Oreochromis niloticus: one gene and its partner. The protein of the gene in region 2 purifies or fractionates together with the protein of the main gene of each other region. This does not show direct contact. Links are inferred from orthologs where the notes say so. Each region holds a gene or a part of one and is shown on either strand. Other genes may lie near its edges.

Region 1 (7,069 bases), on a different chromosome or scaffold from region 2:
GCGATTTAGCACCTAAAAATCTAATTTTGTATTATTAGACATTTTGCCTCAACCATCAGAAAGTCAGGCTGCAAAACCAAAAGCTTCCAAAAGCTTCTCAACTAAATGATTTCTGCTACTGATAAGTTTTGTTCTGCTTACACACACTAAAGATGGCAATAGCCCGTCCTAGTTGCCATGGCAATTCTGTAAGCATGTCACCACAATGTCTTTAAGAATTCATGAATGTGCATTGCACGCTGATGCTGTTTGTCCTTATGATATTCATCCAAGTCCATCTGTTTGTCATTTTTCTGTCATCCTCTAATTCTCCTTTCCATTAATCATGCCTGGATGAACACAATGGTCAGTTTTCCATAATTTCGGATATCAGTCTTACACTAATAACATTTACGGGTCACTTACAAGACTCAATTTAATTCAATTTTATATACATAGCACTAAATCACAACAACGGTCACCTCAAGGTAAGGTAAAGACTCTACAATAATACAGAGAAAACCCAAGAAACAGACAACGCCCTAAGAGGAAGCATTTGGCGACAGTGGGAAGGAAAAACTCCCTTTCAACAGGAAGAAACAGGACAAAAGACAAACTGTGGAAAAGAGCCAGAGATTAATAATAACCAAGGACTACATGCAGAGTGGTGTGTAAATGCAATGAATGGAAAAAAAGACTAATGAAGAAGAAACACAAATTGCATCATGGAGAGCCTAAGCCTACCGCAGCGTAACTAAGGGAGGATTCTGGGTCACCTGATCCAACCCGATCTATACGCTTTATCAAAAAGGAAACTTAAGTCTAATGATTATGAAGTCACATTAATGCAGAGACGGGCACAAGATCTGATTGTGCATGCCTCTTGTGCATCACTGTGAGTTGCTCAGCTCACTTTAAAAAAAAAAAGAGAAGAAGACGACGACGACGACGACGAAGATGCCGCTAACTCTAACACTTTGGCGTGAGACACCCGCTTTCGACCCATCTCACTCTGCCTAAACTAACCACACACGCATTAAGAGGAAGTTTCAAAGTGAGACCTTCATGGGGAAATAAATATGATACAAATTGGCAAAAGTCAGGCTTTGTCTACATTCAACACACCGATTGTGTTACTTTAGTTGCAGAAGGTGCACACAGATCGTTCAAAAAAATATATATATTATTATTAACTGAACACCTTTCATGTACATTGCTTTTTTTTCACTTTAAAAAAAAAAAACACTATAAAGTACAGCTGGACAGTCAAATATTTCCTTAACAAGACTCATCAGAAATGACAAGAACCTACATTTTGATAAAACAGTGACTGAAGATTTTTTTGTTGCTTCCAGCTGTTTCCTTTTCCTCTGAGTTTATTACAAACCAACATCACAGCAGCAAGATCACCTCATGAGCCATCTGGCTGGATGAAATATGAGGCTATTCTGGTAAGTGGATATAAATACAAACAAAATCAGAAGAAAGTCTGGTGTAGGAAAAATAAGTGTTTTCTAAAAATAGAGTGAAGTCTCAACCAACCTTTAAACTGAACTACTGTAACAGAGGACTCAAAGCACTTCACCCAGTCTCTCTCTCACTCACACACACAGTTTTTATCTAAGCCTGAGCACTTTGACTAATATTCACACACAGAAGCTTCAAATTTTTCACTCACACTCCAATCAGCTAACACTTTGACATTCAGACTAGTGGAGTCAGGGATCGAACCACTGACCTTCCGATTGGAACTGTTGTTCCTTACTCACCTATGCCTTTTGACTTTGGGGCAATCTTCTCAATGTCTTTCAGCTGAAACACATCTTTCTGGGAAGAGAGCACAAGAACATGTTCCAGGATTTAAAAAACAAACAAACAAACAAACAAAATAAAAACTTCAATATCACAGAGAAAGAAATAATTTAAAAACTATTACATCTCAAAGAACTGCTTCTGGATGGTAACATAAATAACATTTGCATAAACAGAAAATAAATTGATTTTCTGGATATTTTAATTTGTGGTTTATCCATGTTAAGGACCGCTTAAGTGTCTCATTTTCTGCACTTTTTATTGCCTGATTTAAATGTTGAAAACCAAGTTTCTAACTCAATATTACGGTGCATGGATTTAAACATTGAATCAAACACGTCATCTGCTGCCTGGGGGTGGGGAGTGGGGGGTATGTTTAGTCAGGAGATGTATTACATCACGCATGTATAATGGTGAAAAATAATCACATAACAGCAATGACCAGTATGAATAATAGGACACAGAGTAGGACAGAACAGTGGGGATATGGAGGCTGGGTCACCTGCAATGGTACAAACTCACAGATTCAAAGAAAATCTCCATCATGCGAGTTCTCTTCTCCTCCAGACTTAGTCCTTTCTTCTTTGACTGTAACAGGGGGTTAATGTTATTCATCTATATGTGAGGCACTGAGTTACTAACACTTATTATTTACGAGTAACAAGGAGCCAAAGGTAATAGAGATTAGAAGAATGACCTCTTGAAATCTTTCATCTAAACAAGTTGTTTATATATTCAGTGGTTCACTGTGAAGTAACTAAATGAAATAGACTGCTAGCAGGGGTATGACTGGTCCAATGACAGGTAAAGTTTGTAGCCGTTTACCAAATGTATGATGTGAAATAATAAATGCTGCTTTGTGAAAGTATCGTTAGCGATAGGTATAAGCTTTTACTCTTTATCATGCTGCTGTACCACAATCATTTCCCTTGTGGGATCAATAAAGTAACTGTCTATTTATCTAAGCTATAAGCTAGCTTACAAATGATAGCAAACAACTACGTAAACGCCGGTGGTCTTTACAGTAGGTACAGCAGGTTAAGGTGCACTTCTGCTTACCATTTTTCGATGTAGAGCTCACCAACAACGACCACTAACATTAACGTTTTAGCCACCTGAGGGTAACACAGGGGTGTTGAAAAGTTTTTAATGTAAAGAAGAAAGATTAGGCGACGTATAAGCAGAGCGGGGACGCAGCACTAGCGAATTTCCCGCGGAAGGCTGTGACGTACCAATGTTGCGTTTACGGAACTCCAAAACTCACCAGATGTTTTTTGTGAACTTAGAGTTACTGTCTGTTTGATAGAGATACAGAATCAATAATAATTCCAATATTCTGAATGCATTCAAAATATTTACTGTTAAATTGAAGCACTTCTTTTACACTCCCCTAACTCTCTCCTTCCTGATTTACCAATAAACAAACGAACAGTATTCGGATTATGTACGAGTGCTTATGAAGGCAGCATTGGGGAGGAGCACTGTTTTTTGACTTCCGCTTATGGCTTTATAGCGCCCCCTGCCGTCTGATGAAATAAAAGGCCAAAGCAGACAGCCCTGAGCAACAAAAACCTTCTATGGTCAGAAATATCCACACCCTGGCTTTCCATGGGCGGTTCCTCTAAAAGGGGCGTTTGCTGAGTAGACCTAAAGGCTTTATCTGCAGCCAAAGACTAAAAACTGTTTGGGACCATAAGATTAAAGTGATGTGCAAACATTTTTGAAATTACTAGTGTTATTCTTTATTTAACATATCTATCTAAATTCAGCTTATTGCAGCACATGTATTACACACAAAAGCACTATCATTCATTTCTATGGGCACTTTAATTCCATTTGGCATTACAAATATAAACAGGACATTGGAAAACAAACAATTTACAAGATCGTGTAGAAAATCGATGACCCGATTCTGGATAACAAATAATGACAGTTGTGTGCTTGAAGACAAACAAGGCTTTCTAATAGGAACACAGTGCATTATCACTTAACGTACACCTTGACTGCCAAACTTTCTATTGCTGATTGTGAAGGTAGACAAATTGTGTTGTTAAAACACAATCTGTTACTCACTCTATAGATTTAACCTAAGTTATAAGAGCACATGGAGGAGTGAAGGTGATCGCAGTTCTGCACCTCTACTTTCAGCGTGATGAAGAAATCTTTCAATCAGAAACTTAATAGGATGCATCCTGCCGAGTTCATTCCAAGCAATTAGCTTTTCATTCAAATTCTGCAACTCGAGGGGTCTGCACACGATCACAGCAGAAATGTTAAGAGGCATCATACACAGCAGATGCATATCAGGTGGCTTATGTTTGGTACCCTTAATTCATACAGTCACACTTGTCAGCATACTGGGTTGTTTTTTTTAATATTAAAAGTGATGACACAGCTCAATGAGGAGCTTTCACATTCAAATAGAAGTGAAACAGCGTCTCTGTTTGAAAGTGGTCAGCTGGAAACTGTTTCATACGCACAGTTTAAGGTGTTTGAGTAAGAACTGCATGCACAAAGACGTCTTAATCATGCTCTTAAATACCCTGCTATACCTACAGTGGGTGGAACACTTTTATAGTAAAGAGGCAAAATGTAAAAACCCTTGAGAGCATTTAGCAGGAAGCTGCAGTCACTGCTGCTACAGATGGAATTTCATTATTTCTCAGGTGACTAAGGTACCTTTTACTTTAATTATGACTTCACTTAATACAGCCAGTGATTTGAAAAACAAGTGCAAAAGTATGTATTTATTTTTTTCCCAGTTTCAAAGTTCTACCATGTGGACCGCGTTAAAGCCTTTTCAAATACTCCACATTAAGATGGAAGGTGAACGAGGTCTCAAGTGAGCACCAATCAGCAGCAGCCATTCGTGTAGGTCAGAGGTCATATCGCTTCCCTCGCACCACTAATATAGTCTCTTGTGTTAGTTTGGGGAGGGAGAAAGGTCAAACAGATGGCACAATGACAGCAAGATTCAAGGGTGAACAGGTGAGGGGGGAGTGCAAAAACTTCCAGTTGCTCCGCACTACTGCGTGTTTGTACATATGTACACTGTACAGGCTTTGTGTCGAGTGGCTACTGCAGGTAGCGGTAGACTTTGAAGCAGTGGTTGCCAGAATCAGCGACCACGACGTGTCCGTCTGAAGTGAGCGCCAGTCCCTGCGGGCCGTAGAGGGGGTCCGCTGACGTGTTGATGTAAGAGAGGAATGAACCGCTGCCATCAAACACCTAAGAGAGAGAGAAATATCATCACTGCTGGAAATCAGTGTTTCGTTCATTCGGCTTTTTGTGGAAAGTACAACACACATAGCTATAAAGTTTAAAAAAAAAAATAATGAATGATTTCATGAATATGGATGATGCATAGTGACCAAAATAGTTTTTACGAAGTGACAATTGTTGCCTTCTATTGGTTTAACCCTTCTGAGACCCAAGCTTTTGTATGGGATAGATGTGATGCAAGAGATCTGTGAAATACAAGGTGCAGAAAAGCCAAATGGAAGATCTCCATATGAGGACACAGGGTCTCAAGAGGTTCAAACACATGTATTTTAGACACCAGCGTGCAGTGATCAGGCCTAACATTATGCCTAATATTGTGTCAGTCCCCCTTGTACTGCCAAAACAAGTCTGACCTCCCGAACCGTAGACTCCATTACACCGCTGAAGGTGTGCTGTGGATCCTGGCACCAAGATATGAGCAACAGATCCTGTAAGTCGTGAGGTGAGGCATCGATATATTGGACTTCTTTGCACATCCCACAGATGCTCGATTGAGATCTGGGGAATTTGGAGGTCAAGTGAACACCTTTAAACTCTTCGATGTGCACGTCAAACCATCCCTAAACCATTTTTACTTCGCTGAAAGAGACCGTGAATGCAGTTTCCATGAAAAGGTTTACGTGGTCTGCAACAATGCTTAGGTAGGTTGTACGTGTTAAAGTAACATCCATGTGGATGTCAGGACACAAGGTTTCCCAGCAGAACATTGTCCAGAGCATCACACTGCCTCCCCCAGCTTGAATTCTTCCCACAGTGCATTCTGGTCCAGTTGTTCCTCAGCTAAGTGATCTAAGGAGCTTGGAACGAAAAGTGTCTGGACTTCTTTAAGTTGCTTGAAGACGTTTCCCTTCTCCTCAGGTAAGTGATACGAACCCGGCCATCCACATGATGTAAAAGAACACCTGATTCATCAGACCAGACCATTGCTTCAGGGTCCAGCTCTGATGCTCACATGCCCAGCGTTGGTGTTGGGGGTCAGCATGGGCACCCTGACTGATCTGCAGTTATGCAGCCCCATACACAATAAACTGATGCACAGTGTTTTCTAACACCGTTCTGTCAGAACCAGGGTGAACTTTTTCAGCACTTCAGTAGTTTGCTTGTTGGATCGGACCTCACAGGCCAGCCTTGCATCAGTGAGCCTTGGCCGCCTATGAGCCTGCCGCTGGTTCACCACTGTTCCCTCCTTGGACCACTTGATGGATACCGACCACTGCAGATGGGGAACACCCCACAAGAGCTGCGGTTTTGGAAACCCAGTCGTCTAGTCATCAAAATTTATCTCCTTATCAAACTCACTTAAATCCTTACTCTAGCCCATTTTCCTTCTAACAGATTAACTTTGAGAACACTTCCTCCCTAATATATCCCACTAACAGTTGCCATGATGAAGCGATAATCAGTGTTATTCACTTCACCTGTCAGTGCTCATAATGTTATACCTGATCAGTGTATAAATATACTATTAATGGTGTTTTGGTAACATTTCATTAGCCATTATGAGGCAATATTGTAATGTTGGATGCCACTTGATAAAAAAAAAGAAACAGAAGTTTGTATTAACCGAGTCTTCAAGGAGTAGAAATGATTCATTCTGCGTACCTGGATCCTGCTGTTGCCCCAGTCGGCTACTATGATGTTTCCATTGACGTCCACCGCCACTCCTGTGGGGGCGTTGAACTGGCCATTGCCTTCACCATTGGAGCCAAATTTCAGCAAGAATTCTCCTTCTGTGTTGAAAACCTGCAGTGTGGTTTTCAAAGAGAAGCAACAGCAGAGAGAGAACACTTCTTTAAAAAAATTAAAATAAATGGAAAAAAAAAAAAAAATGTACTGTTCTATGTAAGTGTAGTTAGTGAAATACACATGTATTACGTCACTTCATCCTCCCTGCAGAGCTGTTCTGAGAAGCTACCAGTGAACATCTGATGACTTCTGCCTCTCGGGGCTAAAGCCAGCTAGTCTGAGGCTTCCGGTGCAACCAGCAGATATCCAC
Region 2 (8,021 bases):
ATGTATAGATTTTAAACATTTAAATAAAGCCTTGAGATTTTCACTGGAAAGCTCAGGATTGGTTAAATCGCTTTAGAAGGGAAAATTTAAACCAGCGTTGCCTTTGAGGTGAAGAGCATGACTGTGTTGTCAATTGATGTGAAAGTGTTAAGAGTTTCACAAGCAACGAAACAGTTTTTTATAAAAACATACTTTCAGTTATGAACTTTTTTTTTCAATTAAAGCATTTATTAAAGTTGAACTATTTATTCAAAATAAAGGGCGATAAATAAAGTATTCTCTGGGCTTCAGATTGCTTTCCTGTGTAATCCATTTGCTTAGATTAGTGGCAAGGTGACTGTAAAAGAACTTTCTTGTTCAAGTATGTGGAAGAACTACTTTACAGTCCTCATCAGTCTCCACTCCAACTTCTTCCTGTGAGGAAGCAGAATATTGCAGGTAATAGCAAGAATTTTATTTTATTCTTAAAAAGGATTTTTTTCTTTTCTTCTTCTTAGTGTCTTAAACTCACCAGGAACTCCTTTTTGCTCTTTGGATAACCCTCGAGGATTGAATTTATCATGTCTGAAGCCTAACGCAAACAAAGTGCCAAACACTTTAATAACATGTCCATATGCAGTTTCACTCGCACTAATGAAAGGGAGGGATTGTACTGCATTTTTAAAATACATGGCATGCAATATGAAACATATGAGCTATGAATACAAAAAGGAACTTAAGTAAAAAAGATTACCAGTCTCTTCCTCTTTTTCCACTCTTTAACGTAGAGATCTCGTTCTTTATAAACCTGCAAATTAAAAATAATACTAATATATATAAGCAGCTGGATAGCGTAGTGGTAAGGTTACACACCTTTGGAGCAGGAGTGGCAAGTTCGATACGCAACATCCACATTGCAGGTCCAACGTTCAGGAGAAGGGACTGCTCTCACGGTTAGAGATTGATAGGGTACAACACACATGCTACGGCAAGGGGGAGCCAGGGCGACAGGTCAGGGGTGGAGATAACATTATCAGCCCCACCCGAGATTGGGTACCAAACCCCAAGTGCGCTAGAAGAATGATCGTTGAGTGCAAGAGATCATGGCAAGCTTGAAACCTGGATCCTCCGTTACCAAGACTAAGTGAAGTACCCTCAGAAGCTCTACTAGATTATGTGAATGCAGCACTATGCCGCCACCATTACCATTACCGAGACTAACAAGCTGATCTACAGTGAGATGAGATGTTAAACAGCCACATGGGAGCAGTACCCTACTCTCTAGGAAAAAACCCAGCTCCATCCAAGGTGTACTCTCAGATACCTACTGAACAGTATATGTACAGTTGACTCATGAATCATTAAGATTTTTATATGACACTGTGGAAGACAGAGGACAACTGAAGGCTGTAGACCATGGTACTCAAACAGGGAGAAGGGACAGTGAGATGGGGATTCATTTGCAAATGGGTGCGATGACATAGCTTAATTTAAAATTTACTAAAGCGTGTGAATATGACAAATATGCAAAAAAAAAAAAGACGTCGGTAAGGGGGTAAATACTTTTTCACAGCATTTAGAAATAAGAGAGGCCGTAGGACAGATCCCTGGTGGATTCCTCACCTTGTCCTTCTCTTCTGGCGTGATGTGATTTGAGGCTGACTTTATCTTCTCCAGTCGGGCTCTGTACCCAGAACACTCTGCTTTTAGCTCCTGGATCTCTGACACCATTTCCTCTGTTGTAAGGGAGCTGTTTAGCTCCTTCAGTTCTGTCATCACAGATTTCACACAGAAATGTTACAGAACATCCCCTTTCAAACATATGCAGTAGAACAAAAACAACACGTGTAGAGAAAAGAGCAGTGGGGACAAGCCTCATCGTAAACCGTTTACTGTATCAAACAGCCACATCTTGTGGCTTAAGAGTGTGCAAACTCTGAGAAGATAAATAAGATTGTTGAATGTCAGTGATTAGCAGAAAATTTCACCTGCATCTAGCTGTCTGCAACTCTGGGTAAGGGACTGCACCTCTCCACTGAGCTCTGAGATCTGATGGTCCATTGACTTCAGGTCTGCATCGTTCACATCTTTGAACTGAGCCTGTGGGACAGATTGAGTTATTTCAGTTACTTTACTGGAATTTATAAAAATTATATGTGCATAATATTCCAGACAAACAGACTAACCTGGTCAGCAAAATAAATCTTTTGCTTGCCATATATTTTCTCCTTTATCTTGCCTTCCAGGGCCAGCAGCTCCATGGCTTTGACCACTGCCTGTTGGAAGAAATGCATAAAAACAGTTACTTATAGGCTATGAAAAACAGGTTAATTTTAGGCATCTAATTGTCTCGTTGAAGTGTTAAACTCACCGTTTTGCCCAGCCCATGTTGCTTTTGTAAATTTGAGAAGACATCCTGAGCGCTATAGGGCCGGTTCTTCTCATTTAGGTAGGCAAGGATGAGGGCAGCCCCTGTGAATGACAGCAGGACAATCAGCTCGTTTATCTAAACTTACTACAACATTACACTTAACTTATACCAGAAGTAGATTTTCATGGTTAATATCTAATAGTCCCTTTTTTCTGGCCATAATTATCATCCTAACCTATTTTAAAATAAATATGATTCCCCTCCTTAAAACAAGTATATCGTTTGGAAAAGTGGAAGAAGAATAAAAACACGGAGGTCGTCTCAGCTAACGCTAGCTTGTAGCCGTTTGGCTAAACGTTTCCTTATATCTGTGACTTTTAACAATCGTCGTTCGCTCAGTGCAGGCGACTGACAAGCCATCTAACTTGTTATAGCCTAGAATATAAACTTTTAACCTACCGTTATCTTTTTTACTCATTTCCAACTACTCCACTTTAGCTTTCCAGATCCGAGTTTCGCGCAAAACGCACGTCACGGAAAAGATCGTTCATGCTTAAAGATGATTCACACCAGCACAAAATCCGTCTTCTGCCTTCGCGTTTGAGCGCCCCTCTGTTAATCCTGCCCCAAAAGCTATTAAGTATGACAGGTTGAAAGTATCTCAATGGTTCTTTTACTTAAATTATTTTATGTTTAGTAGAACTTTATCTCCTTCTTCATTTCATGTCGTTAGCGATATCCCGAAAAAAAGTAGAGTGACACCTCTTTTAATTTGGCTGTTCTCAGAAGCAGTCAATTCAAAGTCCAAAACAAGATATACCTAACCGGCCACTTCATTAGGTACACCTGTTCCCGAACGCAAATATTTATTCAGCTAATCACATGGTAGCAACTCATACATAAAGACGTGGACATGGTCGAGATGACCTGCTGACGTTCAAACCAAGCATAACAATGAGGGAAAAAAGGAGATTTGGATGACTTTAAACGTGGCATGGTTGTTGGTCTGAGAATCTTAGACACTGCTGATCTACTGGAATTTTCCCTCACAACCATATTTTTGGGTTTACAGAGAATGATCAGAAAACAGCTGCAGTTCTCTGGGTGAAAATGTCTCATTAATGTCAGAGGAGAATGACCAGGGTGCAATAAACAAGATATGCAGAAGAGCATCTCTAAATGTGGAACTTTGAAGAAAGATGGGCTATAGCAGAAAATCTTACTAGGTATCTCATTAAAATTAAAACGTTAGAAAAACGTTGCCTGGTCTGATGGGTCTCAATTTCTGCTGTAACATTCAGACGGCAGGGTCAGAATTTGATGTAAACCCTAGAACGCTATCGCTATAAATAGTAACACAATCACTACTGCCAGGTGATTTTTTACCCCTTATATAATAAGACCAACAAAAAGTACGTCATCAAAATATGACAACATGACAAACTAGAGTGGTCTTCTTTTATCTTCAACTGTGCCATGTCTAACAATATGAAAACAAAAGTGTCATGGGGGGACCCTAAGATAATGCTCCAAAACAGAAAAATTAGGAATTCAAGAACAAAAAAATTCCTAAACAAAAAAATAATGACACTGGAAAGCTGGTCTTTGGTTCACCCATTCCTGGGACATTTGAGATTTCCCTGGTGAAGGCACAGTCTCCTCGACACGCTAAAAGCTGCAGGAGAGAGAAATCATGTAAATGTATTTGTTCGGGTGAAAATCACCCAGCGATAGTGTTCTAGGGTTAATACTGAGCCTTGTTTAAATGCCACAGCCAACCTGTGTATTGTTGGTGACCATGTCTATCACTTTATCACCACAATGACACTGAGTCAACTGTACTTTAAATGGCCTCCACACCAGATATCAAACCAACAGGACACCTTTGACATGTGACCAAATGTGACACAAAATGTTTTTATTATCCGAAGAGTGCTTTAGAGAAATCAAATTCCCTTGCAGCTCTTCAAAGTCCACAGCTATGACGATCCATCTAAAACGGAATAAAACAAATGTCAAATTAGGCCGTGACTGGTTTTCTAGTCATTTCAGAGCTTTTCGGTATTAAATGAAGTACATGTGAATTGCCTTAAGAGCACCTTTGATAAACAGAGAGACAGTTAATTGCAAACATTTTATTTAATATGATTTGCACATCAAAACATATCAAAACCAGTTACAGAGAAGAAAATACACTACTATGCACATTACATAACAAACAGCCTACAAATCCCTCATAATGAGGACTTCTCATAGAACAGCCTACAGAAACATTCTTGTTAACTGATATGGTCAAACCAAGTCCAACTAATTTAGTAATATTTGTTTTCTGCAATTTCCCATCAGTTTGCATTTTTCTATTTAAATTCTGAATCCAGCAGATTTTTTCCATACTGTGCTAAAATTGCAGCTATGATTTTCTTCTCAAAATAACAATTGAAAACAGTGATGTTTTTTTCCCTCTATTAAACAACCAGCATTTTAACTTTTCATGTGTGCATTTCAGTAAATCTCACTTGTGGCTCATGGAAATTTCAAGTGCCATTTCCACTCTAAAACGCTATACAGACATGATTTGTCCATGTATAGGAAATCAGGCTGACCAGCAAAAGCCACTATAAAATAACACTTAAAAAAGACATGAGGTTAACTTCCTATCCAAACTTGATGTAAACAAGGTCGCCTATTAAGATTGTAAAAGAGCCTTGAGAATATAATTTTCTGTCTTAAAAAAAAAAAAAAAAAAAAAAAAGGTCAGTTTGAAGGTCAAGCAGACAGAATACAAGAGTGGTAAGACATAAAGAGACTATTTTAAATTTTTTCTTTAAAAAAAAAAAACAAACAAAAAACTGAATCGCACACAAACCCGATGGCTCATTCCAGGTATTTAACATGCACACAAGGTAATTGAGCCATATTAAAGGGCAGGAAAATGGAAAAAAAATTCAGAAATTACTCACACGCGAAAAAGAAGCATGTTCTGCTGTGAGGAACAAATTCATTAACACAAATGTAACAATCAGAGTTACTCTGGGCCACATAAGACTATTGTGACAAAATAAACTTTGAATGCGTTCATGTTAGTCAAGAGAAAAGGGAAATAGAAAATGTTGAACTTTATCCAGATATCATTCACCTTCATTGAAGAACACAATCACTGTCTAAATACGCAACTGCTATCAACTGTTTAAATTGTCTAAATGAATCTCTAAATTAATTCGATGGTACACCATCAAATTAATCCTCTTCCATCATATCGTGTTAAGACAGCAGAGTATCAACATGAACATGAGCTACTACTTATTGAAGGGCTGATACATCCGAATACTGCAATGCCTAAATAAGCTTTTATATAAAAGGCTGTTGCACAATATCAGTACTAAAACATGGCTCAGCTCAACCAAGAGGAATGTCACATTTGGTCCTGTGTTAATAGCCCTGTATGTCTAGACCTCGGTGTAGAAAAGATCTGATGGCCTCTGGCTTTCATTTGAAGTCAACAAGTACTTGTACCTTGTAACTGAGTGGTGTGTAAAGTTACAAGACTGCAAAAAGGCTCAATAATGCTGGTTTATTTAATGTTTGAATATGTTTTATGTATGTTATTGTGTTATCTATTGCTCAGCCTACGAAGTAAAAGTTTTCTGGATGATCAAGATTTCAAACTACAGCAAAGAGAGTCTGAAAAGATAGAAAATATGAAATACTTCACAGTGATAAACTGATGCTAATCAGGAACAGGGGTGCTGGAACCTAAAATAGTCTCCCACACACATTCTCATACTTTATCAATACGCATTCAAGCTGTGCACACACAGACACACACACACCTTACTGTGGTTTACCAAGCAGGCTAGACAAAAAGTTAGAACCCTGGCTCTCTCCACGTCTAGAACCTACACCTTCACCGAAGGGATCCAACTGGTTTAGTTCAGACTGATCCAGCATTTCAAAGTCTTCTCCATCCAAGTCTGTGTCTAGCTCAGAGCTGGACTGCTTGCGATAACTTCGGTGGGCCCCGGCCCTGGGGGGACCTTCTCTGCGTTGGGCAGCAGGAGGCTGAGGTTGCAGCGCCCCGGCTATTGCTGCCTGGATCATGTTGCTGGCAATGACTCCAGCCAAGTCTCCAGTGATATTAGAGGCAAGTGGCAGGCTGCTAAGAGAAAGTTCAGCATCTAGATCCTCTTGGTCTGAGTCAAGATGAGCATCCACATCCAGCACTGAAGCCCGGTGACTAGCTAGCCCAGACGGACCCAGGCTAGGCAGTCCAATGCTCGTGTCATCATCATCATCCATCAGAGTGGCATCAGGGTTTATGGAGGGGAAGTCTGGGAGGTCCTGGGCAAAGGATTCTTCAGCATCACTATGCCTGTCAAAATCTGGCCGGATTACAGACCGGGAGAAGATCAGAAGCATGAACTAACCAGGAAATGGAGGTAAGAAATCCGTCTTTCTTGCATACATACCCTCAGAGCCTTCAGTCAGTGGGGTCTGGCCACGTGACAGGTTAAATGTTCCATTGTCAGTATAAGAAACCTCAGCATCAGAATGCTCGGAGTCGGTCAGTGCAAGCGCCCTCGCAACAACAGCATCATCAAACTAGGAGACAAAATGAAATGGTTTAGGTTGTGCTGTGGTGCATTTTTTTAAGATGGCAGTCAAGCTGGTAACTCCGACTCTGACATAAACAGAGAAACATTCTTAGTTTGACTCTGCTTGTTTCTCATCCTTTTACCGTCTGCAGGCTTTGCCACAAACACACATTAAGACAAAAATAAACAAGCACATTTTGTGACGTTCCTAACCACAACAGGAAATGGTGCTGACGTGCTGCTGTAGCTAACCGTGTGCTGAAAAAGCAATAGGTGCAATGAAGGTTTCATCTTTCGTTTCATTTTATAACCTTGTAACCAACACTGTTGACTAACAACAACTCATGTTCACTTAAAGAAAAAACAAAAAAAAACAAAACATTGACAGACTTTAAATTTTAATTTATAGAATTTTAAAGACTCTCTTTAACATTTTTTCACAAATTCACATTACACATTATGAACACTTTAAATATAAAAGTTTACTTCTGGTTTAGGAAGCATTTTGTGTATGTTGACATAATTACTGGATCACAATATGAACAAAAACAAAAACTATATTTGAAGACAAATTTCAGGTATGATGTCCCGACTTTAAACAATAGAAAGGCAGGCATAGTGAGTAACAGTTTGATTAAAATATCAAGAGCTTTAGAAGTAAAACAGCAACAGCCTTACTGTTGGGCAAAAAGCAGCCAACTCCTCCTCACTGTCACTGGCTTCACCCGAGGCTGCACCATGTAGAGGTCTTCGTAGGACTGCAGAGTAGAGTGACCAAGACAACAAATGAGTACTTAGTCCAGCTCATTTTAACTGTAGTAGTTAAATAGTGTGCAGGACAACCAGTTTTAGAAATGCTAAAATGGTTTGTAAAATTAGAACTGATTAACAGATTAATCAACAAACAAAGAAAAAAATACTTTACATCACTGTATCTACTCTGATATTTGCACTTTGGTCTCATTTACTGGAGAGGAAATTGTCTTAACAACAGTTTCATCTCAAAAGAATAAATTGACATAAAATCCAGCTGATTTGTTAGCTGCCAAGTCTAGTAAAAATATACTAATAATACACGA

Evidence for each region.
Region 1: the proteins of psmc3ip (region 2) and mnd1 purify together in Homo sapiens (co-immunoprecipitation; 6 studies listed by BioGRID and IntAct, counting the BioPlex papers as one, with this or other methods). This does not show direct contact. The link is inferred for Oreochromis niloticus from reciprocal best matches to the Homo sapiens genes PSMC3IP and MND1.

The regions. Positions count from the first base shown.
Region 1 is NC_031971.2:13,859,322-13,866,390, forward strand, and holds the start of mnd1 (meiotic nuclear division protein 1 homolog), read right to left. Parts: upstream 3,020-7,069; 5' UTR 2,854-3,019; coding exon 2,851-2,853; intron 2,380-2,850; coding exon 2,314-2,379; intron 1,807-2,313; coding exon 1,749-1,806; intron 1-1,748. Other genes in the region: trim2a (tripartite motif-containing protein 2), read right to left, coding at 4,867-5,019, 6,676-6,816. UniProt on the Homo sapiens protein: Required for proper homologous chromosome pairing and efficient cross-over and intragenic recombination during meiosis.
Region 2 is NC_031969.2:26,004,481-26,012,501, forward strand, and holds the start of psmc3ip (homologous-pairing protein 2 homolog), read right to left. Parts: upstream 3,090-8,021; 5' UTR 2,829-3,089; coding exon 2,810-2,828; intron 2,452-2,809; coding exon 2,351-2,451; intron 2,256-2,350; coding exon 2,166-2,255; intron 2,080-2,165; coding exon 1,968-2,079; intron 1,749-1,967; coding exon 1,603-1,748; intron 788-1,602; coding exon 734-787; intron 572-733; coding exon 512-571; intron 415-511; coding exon 358-414; 3' UTR 1-357. Other genes in the region: retreg3 (reticulophagy regulator 3), read right to left, coding at 6,182-6,729, 6,817-6,949, 7,621-7,700. UniProt on the Homo sapiens protein: Plays an important role in meiotic recombination. Stimulates DMC1-mediated strand exchange required for pairing homologous chromosomes during meiosis.